2 linked regions of the Pelodiscus sinensis genome follow. The protein of the gene in region 2 purifies or fractionates together with the protein of the main gene of each other region. This does not show direct contact. Links are inferred from orthologs where the notes say so. Each region holds a gene or a part of one and is shown on either strand. Other genes may lie near its edges.

The links. The genes of interacting proteins can lie anywhere in the genome.
Region 1: the proteins of CHAF1B (region 2) and CBX1 purify together in Homo sapiens (affinity purification with mass spectrometry; 4 studies listed by BioGRID and IntAct, with this or other methods). This does not show direct contact. The link is inferred for Pelodiscus sinensis from reciprocal best matches to the Homo sapiens genes CHAF1B and CBX1.

The regions. Positions count from the first base shown.
Region 1 is NC_134739.1:13,775,219-13,782,797, forward strand, and holds the start of CBX1 (chromobox protein homolog 1), read right to left. Parts: upstream 3,024-7,579; 5' UTR 2,859-3,023; intron 1-2,858. UniProt on the Homo sapiens protein: Component of heterochromatin. Recognizes and binds histone H3 tails methylated at 'Lys-9', leading to epigenetic repression. Interaction with lamin B receptor (LBR) can contribute to the association of the heterochromatin with the inner nuclear membrane.
Region 2 is NC_134711.1:185,729,036-185,737,206, reverse strand, and holds the start of CHAF1B (chromatin assembly factor 1 subunit B), read right to left. Parts: upstream 3,197-8,171; 5' UTR 3,055-3,196; intron 3,015-3,054; exon of another isoform or gene 2,922-3,014; intron 745-2,921; 5' UTR 744-744; coding exon 618-743; intron 262-617; coding exon 129-261; intron 1-128. UniProt on the Homo sapiens protein: Acts as a component of the histone chaperone complex chromatin assembly factor 1 (CAF-1), which assembles histone octamers onto DNA during replication and repair.

The sequences.
Region 1 (7,579 bases), on a different chromosome or scaffold from region 2:
ATACCAGCCTGTCTTGTCTATTTCTAGCCAGTTTCACTGCCCTGCTCTCCAGAATTAAGACAAAGCTGTGACGTTTGAATTGCAAACCTGGCGGGAGCTGTTTAATCCAAACAAATTACCTGTGTAAGAAAGCCCAAGATTCATAGAATCTTAGTTAATTAAAATGGTTTAAAAGCCCTTAACAAAACCTGCATTTAGAACCTAAACATCATAACAGTCCCATTATCGTACCCACTTTACTTTGTAGTCACAGGACACACACCTCGCCTCTGCAACTCCATTAGCCCCAACACTGCCAGCACAATTCCAGCATCCCAAGGCCCTCAGCGTAGCTCTCACCTCCCCAACTACAGCTTCATCACGCTCTAGTTTTCAGATCCACTCCAGTCTCTGCCATCCCCCTAGCCCACCTCTCAGCCCACCTCTCCTCCCACTTTCCCCACACACAGGATCTTTGGGTTTCAGAGGGGGTAGCCCTGTTAGTCTGTAACTGAAAAAACTTAAACAACAAATAGTCTTGCAGCACCTTACAGATTAACAAAAAATGTAGAGGGGATCATGAGCTTTCGGGGGCATCTCCCCCCATCCCCTTTCTTTCCCTGCCTTTTATTTGTAAACTGGACCCCTTAACTTCATTCATCTGAAGAAGTGGGTTGTGCCCACGAAAGCTCAGTGCCTCCCTAGGACCTCCTGGCGCAGCTGTACCCCATACCTCTCTCCATCAGGCACACTCCAGCAAGCCATCAACTACCCCCAATACGCCTGGCGCAGCTTCATTCATTCCATAGCTTCATTCTCTCCCCTTCTTCAGGTTTACTGTCACCCCAACCTGGGCAGTCTGCAGCTGAACTGGGGGCCACATGTCCCAGAGTGCAGCTTCACCCCGGTTCCCTCCACGGAGGCAGCTTCTTCTCTACATGCCCCATGGTTCCCATTCAGAGCACAGCTCCATGTGCCCCATCCTGTCTCTTTAGTGCAGCTTCATTTCCAAGTGTCCCTTCCCCAAGCCCCAGTCCCACTAGAGTCTGTTCTGCCCCCTCTGAAAGTTCCATATCCACATCCCCACGAGACAGCCCTTGGGCTAGCTCCCCTCATTGCCTAGGACCACCTGGGAACAACAACTGCTCCTCGGAACCTCACCTGCAGCTTCACAGCCACGGAGCTACCCCCCAGGTACCCGCTGCGTTCCCCCTTCTGTGACGCTCCTCTCCCGTGTACACATCCCCACTCCCCATGGCTCCTGGCGCGGCCACCCGGCCACCCACCCCCTTCAACCTCCCCTTGCCAAAGATGTAGCTCCCCTCTGCACCCAGCTCTCCTGGGTCCCTCTCTCGAGCCCCACGCCCCCTTCCAATCCCTGCTCTACAAAGTTTCCATGCATCTCTCCCCTTCCCCACCAAGTCCCAGCTTCCCCATTGCCCCCCACAATCGAGCTCCCTCTCCCAATGCCAGCTTCCCTCCCCCAAATCCCAGCCCCAAGAGCACTGTTTGCAGCAAACCCTCCCCTCCCAAAATGCAGCCCCCCCATTCCAGACCCCACCTAATCCTAGTTGTACAATTTAGCCCTACAGCTTCCCCTCCCATCCCAGCGCCCCCCTGCAGCTCCCCCTCCCGTCTTGGCGCCCCCCTGCAGCTCCCCCCTCCCCCTCCCAGCGCCCCCCCTGCAGCTCCCCCTCCCCCTCCCATCCCAGCGCCCCCCTGCAGCTCCCCCTCCCCCTCCCGGAGCCCCCTTGCAGCCCCCCTCCCGTCCCAGCGCCCCCCCCCAGCACCCCCCTGCAGCTCCCGCTCCCCCCCTCCCGTCCCAGCGCCCCCCTGCAGCTCCCCCCTCCCCCTCCCGTCCCAGCGCCCCCCTGCAGCTCCCCCCTCCCCCTCCCGTCCAGCGCCCCCTGCAGCTCCCCCCTCCTGTCCCCCCTCCCCCTCCCAGCGCCCCCCTGCAGCTCCCCCTCCCGTCCCAGCGCCCCCCTGCAGCTCCCCCCTCCCCCTCCCAGCGCCCCCCTGCAGCCCCTCCTCCCTCCCCCCTCCGTCCCAGCGCCCCCCTGCAGCTCCCCCTCCCCCCTCCCGTCCCAGCGCCCCCCTGCAGCTCCCCCCTCCCGTCCCAGCGCCCCTCTGCAGCTCCCCCTCCCCCTCCCGTCCCAGCGCCCCCCTGCAGCTCCCCCCTCCCCCTCCCGTCCCAGCCCCCCCTGCAGCTCCCCCTCCCCCCCTCCCGTTCCAGCGCCCCCCTGCAGCTCCCCCTCCCCCCCTCCCGTCCCAGCGCCCCCCTGCAGCTCCCCCTCCCCCTCCCGTCCCAGCGCCCCCCTGCAGCTCCCCCCTCCCCCTCCCGTCCCAGCCCCCCCTGCAGCTCCCCCTCCCCCCCTCCCGTTCCAGCGCCCCCCTGCAGCTCCCCCTCCCCGTCCCAGCGCCCCCTGCAGCTCCCCCCTCCCCCCTCCCGTCCCAGCGCCCCCCTGCAGCTCCCCCCTCCCCCCTCCCGTCCCAGCGCCCCCCTGCAGCTCCCTCTCCCCCTCCCGTCCCAGCGCCCCCCTGCAGCTCCCCTCCCCCCTCCCGTCCCAGCGCCCCCCTGCAGCTCCCCCTCCCCCCTCCCGTCCCAGCGCCCCCCTGAAGCTCCCCCTCCCCCTCCCGTCCCAGCGCCCCCCTGCAGCTCCCCCTCCCCCCTCCCGTCCCAGCGCCCCCCTGCAGCTCCCTCTCCCCCCTCCCGTCCCAGCGCCCCCCCTGCAGCTCCCCCTCCCCCTCCCGTCCCAGCGCCCCCCTGCAGCTCCCCCCTCCCCCCTCCCGTCCCAGCGCCCCCCTGCAGCTCCCCCCTCCCCCCCCGCGCCCCCCTGCAGCTCCCCCCTCCCCCCCCAGCGCCCCGCCCCCCCGCTCACTTTTCACAGCCTCGCCAACGGTGCCGGGGCGGAGCGGGGCTGCGCGCGGGGCCGGGCCGAGCTGAGGCGGGGGCGGGGGGGCCGGGTCCGTTGCCGGGGGCGCCACAGGCCTGGCCGCTCGCGATCCGCCTCCGCCAAACAAAAGAGCCCAGCAACCCCCTGTACCCGCCGAGCGCACTGCGCCTGCGCGGCGACCCCCGCCCCGCCCGCGGCACGCTGGGCCATGGAGTCCCGCCGTTGGACGACGGCTCCCAGCAGGCCTAGCGGCGCCCGCCCTTTCGCCGCGCTGCCTGCTGGGTGTTGTAGTCCGGGAGAGCTGGAGGGGGGAGCCCAACCAAGCCCAGCCCACGTGCGTGGCCCCAGGGAGCCACAGGCTCCCCCCTCCGCCCAGGCTGGCTGCAGGGCTGCCACCGCTCCCCCTGTCCATGAGTTCAGCAAGCCCCCGGCTGAGCGCGGCGGAAAGCTCCAGCTCCCGGAGGCAGGGGACTCCAGTGAAAAGGGAACTGCCGCCCCTAGGAGCACTGGCCTCTGCAGAGCGGCGCAGACCCCACTGAGCCCACAGTGGCCAGCCCAGGATGCGCCAGAGAAAGGCGAGAGAATCATCCAGCCCGCACCTAGGGGACGAGTTCCCTCCTGCAGGTCTCACCCTGATCTCCAGCAGTTAAGAGCCTGATTAGGCTGAAGTATAAGGGTTAATATCCCTTCAAACGTGTGTGGGGATTATGTATGGCACTGCATAGCCTTGATACCTATTTAAATATCCAATCCCTTTAATACAGTTACAAAAAATGTCTTTGCCAAAGGATCAAGGCCCACAAAACAGATATTAGACAGGATCACAAAGAAAAACAGTTTCTTGCCATTTCAACCAGAAAGGACACTGTCTCAATGACTTGATTACCTGCATCCTGCTTCAAAGGCCTTTTCAGACCACACTTCAAAGAGAATCCTCTGAACTGTCATTCATGCTTAAATTCGACACTTTACACTTAGGTTTAAACAAAGACATTAATTATCTTACCCATTACAAAGATAGCTTCCCCAATTATCACCTCTAATATCATTAGCTCACAGACATTTACCATCCCCTTTCTGTTCTGAAATTTGATTTGTCCTTTTCATATGTGTTCATTTTTTAACTGTATCCTTTGGTATATATGGTTGTGCCAATTTTCTTCCACTATTTGATCTGAGGAAGTGGGTCTGGCCCACGAAAGCTCATCACCTAATAAACCATCTTGTTAGTCTTTAAAGTGCTACATGGTCCTGTTTTTTGTTCTTTTTAATACAGGTTGAACCTCTCAAGTCTGGCACTCTGGTCTGGCACCATCCATGATCCGACGTGATTTTAGGCAGCCGGATGGCAACTTACAGTGGGTGTGGCCAAGTTCCCGCGGTGCCATAAAGTTTGTTTACAGCCACCCGACCTGGCTCTCAGTGCTCTGGGCTGTTATTTAGTCTTCTAAGAGCCCAGTAAGCAGTGGCAGTGTTAGTAATGCTGCTAGTTAATACTGACCTCTCCTGGTTCAGCAAATTCTCTGGTTTGGCACCAGTCAGGTCTTGAGAGCTCTGGACTAGAGGTGCAATCTGTTGTTTGTTAATTTCTTGGCCTCAATTTCTTCCGGTGGTAACGAGTTTCACGTTTTTATCACACCGTGGATGAAGAAGTATTTCCTTTTGTTGGTTTTACCACCATCTTCATGTGTTATGAAACAGGGAAATAAAAATGCTCAATAAACCTTCTTTATGCTAAAAAGCCCCCAAAGACTTGTAAACCAGAAAGCAAACAAAAATACCACAGCGCTTATTCTTTTTTTAAAAATTTGGTTTTAAAGCTAATCACATGATTTTTAAAGGCCTGATGTTGGAAAGCTTGAGGTGGGCAATACTGCTATAGAACACGAAAGAACAACACCACCCCCGTTAAAAGCATTTTCGGAAAAGAGCATCTAGATTGGCACGGAAAAGTGTCTGTGCCAATCTAGATGCACTTTTCCACAAAAAAGCCCCAATCGCCATTTTCGCCATCAGGGCTTTTTTGCGGAAAACAAATCTGAGCTGTCTACACTGGCCCTTTTGTGCAAAAGTTTTGCGCAAAAGGACTTTTGCCCGAACGGGAGCAGCATAGTATTTCCGCAAGAACACCAACAATCTTACATGAGATTGTCAGTGCTTTTGCGGAAATTCAAGCGGCCAGTGTAGACAGCTGGCAAGTTTTTCCGGAAAAGCAGCTGATTTTCTGGAAAAACTGGCCAGTCTAGACACAGCCAGCTTATGTGTGGTTTGTGCTGCGTGACACTAGCCACCACCAACCAGGTAGGTCTGGGATTAGGGGCAGCCACAGTGTAAAGATGGGTCGTGATGCCACTATGCATGTGCAGAAAGTCCTGCATGTATGGGACTCATCTGTATTTCCATTACACAGCCAAGGAAAATGGGTCAGGGTTACCAAAGGGTTAGTACTGTCAGGTGGCAGGGATACTGAGTCACTAGAGGCTGCTGTTACCAGGCCTGTGTTCCTGGAACATCCCACCTTCAACACTTTCCACTTGGGCTCCCTGGAATGCTGTTTTGCTGGGCACTGGTTACGCAAGCTGACCCAGGACAGGAAGTGGTCATGGGATCAATCCCGTAGGAGAGGAGGAAGGACTGCTCACCCAAGTCAAGGGAAAGAGGGGGAGGGAGCTCCTTTTTGTTCTTCTCACCTTCAGCCCTGTAGTTTTCTTTTCTGAGCCTTTGGGTTTACGCAGGTCACATTTTCAAGCTTTTCTCTGCAGCGGGCTAGGAACGTACTTTTGTTTCCAATGAAAGCTGAGATTCCCACGAATAATTTGACTCCAGAAAAACATGGAATGTCCTGAGAAGGATGACAAAAGCGTGGGAGTTGGCAACACTTCTTAAAGGCCTCCACAAAGGCCTTGATGAAACAAGAGAGGGTTGTCGGGGGGGGGGGGGGGGGGGGGGGGGGGGGGAAGGAGGAAGGGCAGCTCTGCTGTCTATTAGTTCTAGGATATTAAAGAGATAAGGCTGGGGATGCAACATCTTTTACTGGACCAACTTTTGTTGGTGAAAGAGACAAGCTGTCAAACTCCACATAGCTCTTCTTCAGGTCTGGAAAATGTATTCAGGGTACAAGGTGGAGCAGATGGATTAACATCAGTAGCTACCACACTTAAGGGCTCATTCAAAGTGAAGTGCCCTTTGTTAACGCCTGGGGACAAGGGGGGTGGGGAAGGAAGGAAAAAACGTGGAGCAGCGTTTAAGTGTCATAATAAGGAATAAATCCAGTGTTTCTACTCAGCCCATAATTTTGAGGATCTAGCAGAATCATGAATGTTAGTTTTCAGGCTTGTCTTTTGAAGGTGTTGCTCAAATTTCCTCTCCTGACTGTACCCCCATGTGTACACTGGGGTTGGCACAGCTATTGCCTTTGGAGGAGGTGGATTAAGTATACTGACCGGAGAGAGCTCTCTTGGCTGGTATAAATAAAACCGCCTCCATGAGCGGCACAAGCTACGTTGGTTAAAGCTCTCCGGCTGACACGGCGCCGGGCACGCAGGCGCTTACGTTGGAGTAACTCACGTTGCGCAGCGCGGTGCGAAGTTCCTGTTCCTGTGCGGCCAGGGCTGGCCTTCCCATGAGGCGAACTGAGGCGGCCACCTCAGGGGCCAGACTGGGGGGGGGGGCACTAGAGTGTAGAAAATTGTGTCTGCTGCTGGTGCATCTGTATCCTCTCTGCTCTCGATGCACAGAGCTGGAGGAGCGCTGTGCAGGAGGAAGGCGGGCACAAGAGACGTAACGGTCAGGCAGGAGAAGGGGCACAGGGGCGTCACTTGAGCTCCCCGCCTCAGGTACCAAAATGTTACGGGCCGGCCCTGTGCGCGGCAGACGCTCTGCCGACGGCAGGCCGTAGCGTGAGGTCGTGGGCTAAGCGCGCCAGTGGTTCACATGCCGATGTGCCCTCCTCACCTTTCCCCAAACTCGGGGCTTGTCTCTCTCCCCGGCTGCCCTTGGTCCAACAAAAAGTTTTCCTCTCGCCCACCTTGTCCCCTGGGGAGGCTGGTTTTACAGGGGGGGACTCAAAGACATCCATCAACATGGGCATCTGTCAGAGTCTGCATCCTCAGGGTGGGGACCACCCTGCACACCCATGCACCCCTCTTCTCCAGCTCCCTCCCTCCTCATCCTCCTCCCCCTTCCTCCCGCTGGCCCCCTCTTCGCTCTGCTCTCAGCTTGGCCTCGGGCTTGTTTGCATCTGCATCCCCCTCGGGGTAGAGGGCGTGTGTGGGGGGGGGGGGAGCGGAGGGGCTAGAACTACAACTCCCAGCCTGCCCCGGGACCGCACCGGAAGGAGCCCCTGAGCGTGGCTATAAGGGGCCGGGCCCAGCCCTTCACCTCTTAAAGGGGCCGCGCCGGCTGCAGACGCCTGTCCTGCGGGAAGCGGTGAGGAGCCGGGGCAGGGGCGGTCTCCGGAGCGGGGGGCGCTGGGGTAGGGGGGAGGCAGCCATGGCCAGAGTGGGGGGAGAGGGGCATTGGGTAGGAGGGGGGCGGGAACCGTGGGAGGGGGGGGAGAAGGAAGAACCATGTGCAGAGGAGGGGAGGGGGGCATTGGATAGGGGAGGGAACCATGTGCAGAGTGGGGGGGGGGAGGGAACCATGTGCAGAGTGGGGGGCATTGGATAGGGGAGGGAACCATGTGCAGAGTGGGGGGGGGGGAGGGA
Region 2 (8,171 bases):
ATGTGAAACACTCATATATCACCATGATTGGGAAGTTAATGGATCATACAAACCCCAAATCGGAAATGTTCTGTGCTCTTTTTACATGACTTTCATCTATCTTTTTTATATTGTTTTTTGTTACTCACCGTCTCCTCCTGATGCTAAAACCTCACCATTGGGAGAGAAACGCACAACATTCACTGCTTTCGTATGGCGAGCTAGATTTGATAAGAATTCCACAATTGCTTTCCCATCTGGTCCTTTTTCCACTTTCCATATCTAGTTATAAAAGAATTACATATAGTAAATTGCCTGCTATATACCTGAAAATTGATTAATTTTTAATCTTGTGCACCATTTTCTTCAGTTCCGTTATTTATATATTTTGCAAGGAGGCAGAAGGAATGCAGATATTTCAAAAATCTTACCCAAACTTGATGAAATTAAGAAGCATTATTATTCAGAAAATTAAACTCAAGTTGACAAAACTCATGGCCCACTTTCTCATAACCTTTTATCTGAGTCACTCACTTGTGGGGCAGTAGGAAACTGGAAGAATGTGAGATTTTTAAGTAAAATTAAATGTCTTGTTAGATATTCTGCTCACACTAAAATCAGCGAAATTTGGAACTCACACGAACAGCAGTGTCTACTCCTGCTGAGGCCAGTCGATTGATTTTCCCTTCAGTTCCATGTTGGAAGTCTAAGCTATACACCGGCTCTTTGTTGTGCCATGCTATTTCACAAGTGATGACCTTCATTCTTTTTAAAGGAAAACATGGCAGATATCAGATATTTTGCATTTATTTTTACAAGAATTATAGTCAAAGTTAATAACAAACAGAGAAATTTTAAGAAAAACATTACAGTAAATTACAAAAGATTACTAAAAGTCTCGGAGGGGTAGCAGTATTAGTCTGTAACTAAAAAAAAGGGAAAAAAACAACAACATTGGTCCTGTAGCACCTTAGAGACTAACAAAATATATAAATATCATGAGCTTTCGTGGGCACAACCCACTTGGACAGATGTGAAAGCAAGGGGCCCAGTGTCTCAGTCTGCCCTGTGGCATGTCCCACTCGATCCACAGGCAGGGAGCAGCCCCAGAGCTCAGAGGGCTAGCTGTTCCATCTCTCTCTGGCTATGTCTAGACTGCAAGTTTCTTTCAAAAAAGAGCATCTAGACTACAATCAGTCTGGATGCTCTCTTTCGAAAAAGCACAGTTTGCATTACACAGCGCCTTTTTTTGCAAGAGCACTTTTGAAAAAAGGCGTTATTCCTCGTGAAATGAGGAGTGCCACCATTGAAAGAAAAGCCGTGTTCTTTCAATGTAATTTTGAAAGAACGAGGCTGTAGTCTAGATGCAGGTGAAGTTTTTTTCGAAAAAAGGCTACTTTTTTTCGAAAAAACCCTGCAGTTTAGACACAGCCTCTCTGTGGTCAGGAGGAAGGGGGAAGCTCTGTGCACTGTGAACCCTGTCCTTCACCCAAACACCCCCTAATAACCTCTCCTGCACCCAAATTCTCTACCTCAAGCTCCATTCTGCACCCATCCTCCATCTCAGACCTCCCATCCCCTCCATAGAAAAGTGTGGCCCTTGACCACTTACCAACATTTTGGAGTGGCCCCACCACATCAAAAATTATTGCTCACCCCTAGTTTATGATAACTGACATTTTCTGCAAGAGCAATAACCTTTTCAGAGAATAAGCCATAGCTCTCAACTCCATGACTGGAAATCTTATTATGATGACAGAGTTGTGCTGGAGCAGTGTTTAGGTACATTTCTTTGGACATAAATGTTTTCCGATCCCCAGATCTCAAAGTGGTTGCATTCTTCATGTTGCTCTGATCCCTCCACTGCCTGCTTTGACTGCAGCAAAAATAATTGCATAGGCTGGTTTTTGAGTCAGCAAGTGCAGCAAGAATAATGCTAGAAACACAGCAAGCAGGGAGAGATGGGTAAAAGAGGAATTCACTGTTCAGTGCAGCAGACCTCATGGACCATGAAAGTTAAGGTAAAATGAAGAGAAAAGATTTAGCATGCTGGAGAGGGAAGAGAGATGAACCTAGGAAAAGTGGGACTTGAGATGGATCAGAACAGAAATTCTTCCTCCTAAGAAAAGAGAAGAGCTGCTTACTAGTCACACAAAAGATGCTAAAAAAATAGTCTGGTAGCACTTTATAGACTAACAAAACATGTAGATGGTATCATGAGCTTTCGTGGGCACAGCCCACTTCTTCAGATGAGCGGAGTACAGCCGCTCCCCGAGTTATGAACAAGTTACGCACCAACACTTGGTCCGTAACTCGAAGTGTTCACAACTTGGATCCCATAGTGTTACATGGCGACGGCGCTGTTCGTAAGCATGGATCGCCGTTCGGAACTCGGATCCGCATTTCCGACTGCTTTGGTCCTAAGTGCGGATGGTCGTAAAAGTGGAGGTGGGCGTAACTCAGAGAGCGACTGTCGTGGATGGCCAGCATTGTGGCCATCTGAAGAAGTGGGCTGTGCCCACGAAAGCTCACGATCCCATCTCCATGTTTTGTTAGTCTATAAAGTGCTACCAGCCTATCTGTTGCTTTTTCAGTTGTTGCTGTTCCAGCCTGGCTACCCCTCGGAAGCGTTTGAACAAGAGAGGCCTCAGCAACAAGGGAGCAATGTTCGCTGACCCAGCGGCTCTCTTCCGGCTCTGCACATCGCCACCGCGCTGCCGACAGGGCGCAGGAGCGTCACACGCACAAACCCGCGGTTAAAAGGGCGAATCCCCCCGGAGCGACACAGGCAGAGGGGGGCGGAGCGGATACACCCGCAAACCAACCCCCCCCCCTTTCAAAATGCTCCAGCGCCCCCGCCCCCCAGAAAACACCGGCCCGGCAGCAGCGCGCCCCTGGGGCAGGGGGGAGGAAGCCGCAGCGACCCTGTAGCTGCTTCTCACCAAAGCCCAGCGCCGCGTCCCCAGCGTCACCCCCCCATCACCCTCCAATACTGGGGGGCGCACCGCGGTTACAGCGGGGTCACCGCCCCCGGCGCTCCCCCCTCCCCGCCCCGAGCCTTCGGTTGCCGGTTACCTGAGGCAGGCGCGCGCGGGGCAAAGGAGGCGGGTGCCGCCGGCCGGGTTCCTCTTTCCCGCGCACCACGGCTCGCCCGCACGAACCACGCATGCGCGCGCTGACACTTCCCGGGGGGGGGGGGGACTTGCAAGGATGCAGCGCCACCTGCTGGGCAGCGCCCGCGGAGCCCACAGCCAGGGCTGGGTAGGGCTGTAGGGTTGCCATGGCAACTCTCTAATAGCACGCTCTGTTCCCTTTGCCCCGCCCCCCATTCCACCCCCCTCCCAGCCTAGTGGGGCTGCGATGCTGGTGGGTTGCAGGGGGCACTTATCTAAGGTTGCTGCCTGGAACTCCCATAGTGGTGATTCCCAGCCAATGGCAGCTGCAGAGCCAGTACTCAGGGAGACGGGGCACACAGCTTCCTTGCCTCCCAGCCCCACATATGCCAGGGGAAAGCTGAAACATACCAGTAGCTTCAGCCCACCTTAGCCCCATCTTGCTACTGACTAGTCTTTTAACAGCATAGTCAACAGTCCTGACCAGAGCCCAGCATCCACTTTGTGTTAGGGAAGGGGAAGGCAGGGAGAGCTCCAACTGGTGGTGACAAGAACAGAAGGGGGGTATAAATAGGCAGAGCAGCAGCCATTCCCTCTTCTGAGTCACTATTTGAATCCAAGGACGTGGGCAGGCACAAGCCCAGTTCACTTCTAAAAGCCCCTCTCCGAGCCTTGCAGGAAGGTCCACTGGACCCAGGATTCCATTGATTATGGGGGACAAACAATGAATAAAGGGATCAGGAGTGCAGGTCATAGGTTCAAAACAACGGAGCCAGATGGAGACACCAAGCAGAGAACCTTAGACAGCACCCACTGCTCCTTGAAGCTATCCAGGGAGCAACTGGACACTGCCCAGAAGAACTCTGCCCCGATGTGAGTGTAGGAAGAAGCAGAAATAGGCCCCACAGTCACAGAACACCCCTTTGTTCAGCATCCTTCTCCTGGTGTGGTACATGTCAGCTTTCACTAGGGCCAGGAGGAGGTCGACAAGGTGTCTCAACTTTGTGGGGCCACAGATGCCTGGCTACCCCAGGATTTTATAGTGTGTCTTGGCAAAGGGGCAGATTGTTTTATGTAAGAATGCGGAGAAGAAAATCTATTGCACTGGATGGGGTGTGTATCAGATAAAGCCACATATTGTGTGGTAATTAATTAGCTACATGCTGTGATAAGGGAGCTTAACAAAATTTTGGAAACTGAACTGGCATTCCAGAAATAAAGTTGAGATTTGGTGCTGTACCCCTCTACCTCTTTGTAAAATAGGGACAATACTATTTTATATTAAGCAATTTTTCAGCAATAGTATGCTATGACACTTTTAAATTATGACTGATTTTGTAAGAAGTTTTTAAGTGATGTGTAACTTGGGAGTAAGCAAGACAGATCAGACTCCTCAAAGGGTTACAGTAGTCTGGAGAGGTTGAGAGGCACAGCTTTATAGCTCAAATAGTAATGCTCTGAGATACCCAACCTGATAGAGGCAAAGTTACACCTTGAAAAATGACAATTGTTTTCTACAAAAGCAAGTTAAATAAACTTAACATTCTGTCTTTTTTGGCACTTGAACAGCAAGAAATCTTCTGTTTGGGTAAAGAGGGAAAGTCTTCTATGCATTTTGCTAAACTAAACATTTGTAAAAATATAGCAAAGTTTATTAGCACAGTGTTTCTCAACCAGTGGTATGAGTACCCTTAGGGGTACTTGAGAGACGTCTGGGGGTACTTCAACAATAACATCTAGAGAACTGAATTTTTGTTTTAAGTTTTACAGTGCTGTTATTTTTGTAATTTTTACAGCCAAAAATTTCATTGCTCACCCAGCTACAATTAAGTTGTTTAAAAAAGTCACTTTTTTCTACCATTGCGTCTGAAAACTGTCGGTACGGGGGGTACTTCTAATTTTTTTTTTTTTAAAGGGGGTACTTTATAAAAAGAAGGTTGAGAAACACTGTATTAGCACATCCAAACAATGATTTCACATTGCAAAATAGTGTAACAAGTGCTTCAGGGCTCTTAAACTAGAATTATATGCAGGGCTCGACAATCTATGTGATCTACTTGCCCGTGGCAAGATGATTACAACCTGGAAGAGCTGGGTCTGGGTGATCTGCACATGCACAGAATGCCGGACAGCGTGGCTGGCGAGCAGGGCTCACCGCAGCTTGGCAAGCCCTGGTTCTATGTATATTTTCCCACCCCATGACAGTTATATTTCAGTGCACAGCAGAGACCTATTCCACTTCAGCACTCGTGGTGATACTGGTATTTGTGGGCAGGGAGATGAAGCATACTGGTATCCTTCATGTAGACCACCCCTTTCACCACGGCTATTCAACATGTGGCCCACAGCCCATTCATTTGCGGCCCATGGTGGGGTTTGGGTTTATGCACAGCATACAGCCCGCAGGTGGGATCCTTTGAACATGGCCTACACTGGGAACGACTTCCACAAGGGCAAGGTATCTCCCAGGAGGTGTGAGCATTGAAAGATGCAGATGGATGGGCTGGCTGAAACAGATGGGTACAGGGCATCAGCATTTCTAGCTCCCTTCCTCCTCACTCCCCCCCACCCCCGAAGGTGGTGTGGGAGTGCCAGGGCATTGTGGGAAGGGTTAGCCGCTCAGCCTTGTGGGCAGAGCCTGAGAGGTGCAGACTGGCTCAAACTGGCCACGTTTGTGTCCGGCGCTACGGCTTAAAACAATCTTTGTATTCATGCCCATCAGTGTGAAAAGCTATTTGCATGTATATGCAACCACACTTAAGTTGCAGCCCTCAGCATGCACTGTATCATTGTGGCTTCAGGGCTTCCAAAGTTGAGTAGCCCTGCCTTATAGGGAGGCATAGCACATTGCCCTTAGGTTACACAAGCTTTTGGGGGACAGCAGTGGAATGCTGGACATTGGGATCTTACATTTTCATTCCTGGGTTGGATCAGGTCTGTTTGCGGTATAGTAGTTATAGACAGGATAACCAAATGTACCTATAATAGATTGGGGAGTTTCCTGTGATACTCTGGATAAACATTAATTTTATGCATCAGTGGTAGCCTAAGGAACATATGCAATTCAATGTAGGATGGGAGATCACTGTCCTCCAGGAATTAAGAGGTGTTGAAGGGTGGAGTGGGGTTGGGCTAGGCAAATTCATTTCTGTTGTAACACTGTCAGTGCTAGCTCTCTGGAAGAGTCTTGCCTTTACTTGTGCAAACTGGACTCTCCAGGACACCTTCCTCCCCCAAAATGCGAGAACGTAAGTAGTTTGAGTTAAATTAATATGGGACCATCGTTCTGATCCAGCTAACAGGACATTCTATCCAAAATTAATATGGGACCATCGTTCTGATCCAGCTAACAGGACATTCTATCCAACCAGAGGGCCTCATTTCTCAGGAAAGTGTTGAAAGGACTTAAGACCAGAGACCTTTTGGGAGATGGGGTGTGATCTCTAGTAAGTTTAGTGTACATAAAACAATAAAAACCCTATGGTTTTTTCCTGTAATTCTTTTACCTTAAGAATAAACATGTTTGCTTAGAAAGAGCTGTGTGGTAACTTAATTGTGGTACATACACTGTTTACAGTTCTAGATGAGAAAAGCAAAAAAACAGGATTGTTTAGGCAGTCTGACTTGCTGGATAATTCACAGTACAGGCAATGAACTGTGCAGCCTGGAAATAACCTGGTCAGGAGGAAGAAAGCCCTGATAAGCTGAGGAGCTAGCTGGGATCTTAGAACAGGTACCCTTTGCTAGATTCATAGAGGGGGAAAATCAGATGCAGTTGCCTTGAACTGTGAAAGCACCAACACCACCCTTGTTTAGGGAATCGGATATTGAACCTGGGACTACTGGAGGCTTGATTTCATATTCAAAGACTGGAACTTAAAATAAATACAATTTAAAAAATCAGGTCTCATCATGGAAGTAGAGTCAAGCCATCTATATGTGGTCCCACCGCTAAAGAGTGACAACTACACTTTTAGCATGGATTACAGAAAAATCAATTTGACATTCTTCTGAAAGACTACATGGTAAAGTAGATGACATTTCTATAATGGTGAATGTTAAAATAAAGCCAGAGAGCACTATTAAGTATGTTATTTAAAACAAAATTATTTTTTATTGACCAGTTAAAAGTTTTGATCTGACAAAACCAGAACGTGCTTTTTACAAAAAATACATCTATTTACTTTAACAAGTAAACTTACTCTCATTTACCCGCTGTTCCTCAAAATTTAAATGTACAGTATAAATTTTTACTTTTCAATATAGACATTATATTTTACCAGTCATGTATAATAAATTCAACTACAGAAGTAACTGGACAAAACACTTAGAAAATAAATAATGATAGACAAAATGAAAAATTGCACACCAGTTTATCAAAAATGACTTAGGTATATGAACATTTTCATATTTCAGTTACGTATTCAAAATTAAACATTAAATGTATCCATTAGAAACACAATAATATTTCATTATCTCTAGTAGCATAATACTAGATCAGGTACTCAAGATACTCTTAGGCTAAAAAGACTAGCAACGAAGGGAATGCAACTTAATTTAAACAAGACAGTAAGGTTGCTTAAGCCAAAAAAAATATGTTGGTATTTTGATGTTTCACATTAATATGTTTCTAATATTAAAGGGGTGTATTCATGATTGTTTTAAAGATTTTAATTAAAACAGTTTTTGTTTTGATTAGTTGAATGAGAGAACACCTCTGCTGGCTGGGGAAAAAATATGGTTGGAAGGAACTTACCATCCCCATATTTCTCCTCAACACTTTAATTTACTATTTGTGGTTTTCAATTTTGCATATTTTTATGAGCAAAAAAACCAGGCTAGTCCTTTTATTTCTAGTCTTTTTCTGATTCTCATGCACAATTCTATTGTATCTGCAAAACAGGAGTATGTTTAAATTTGAGTTAAGTTTTCAGTTTTAATAAATTCATCGGTCATTAACACCATCAGGAAGGTTATTTGCTTTTGAAAGCATCTTTAGCTTAAATACCCTTTTAATTGCGTAATTCCTCCAACACCGAGTACACCCTATTGTACTCACAGCATGCTGCATTATTGGTA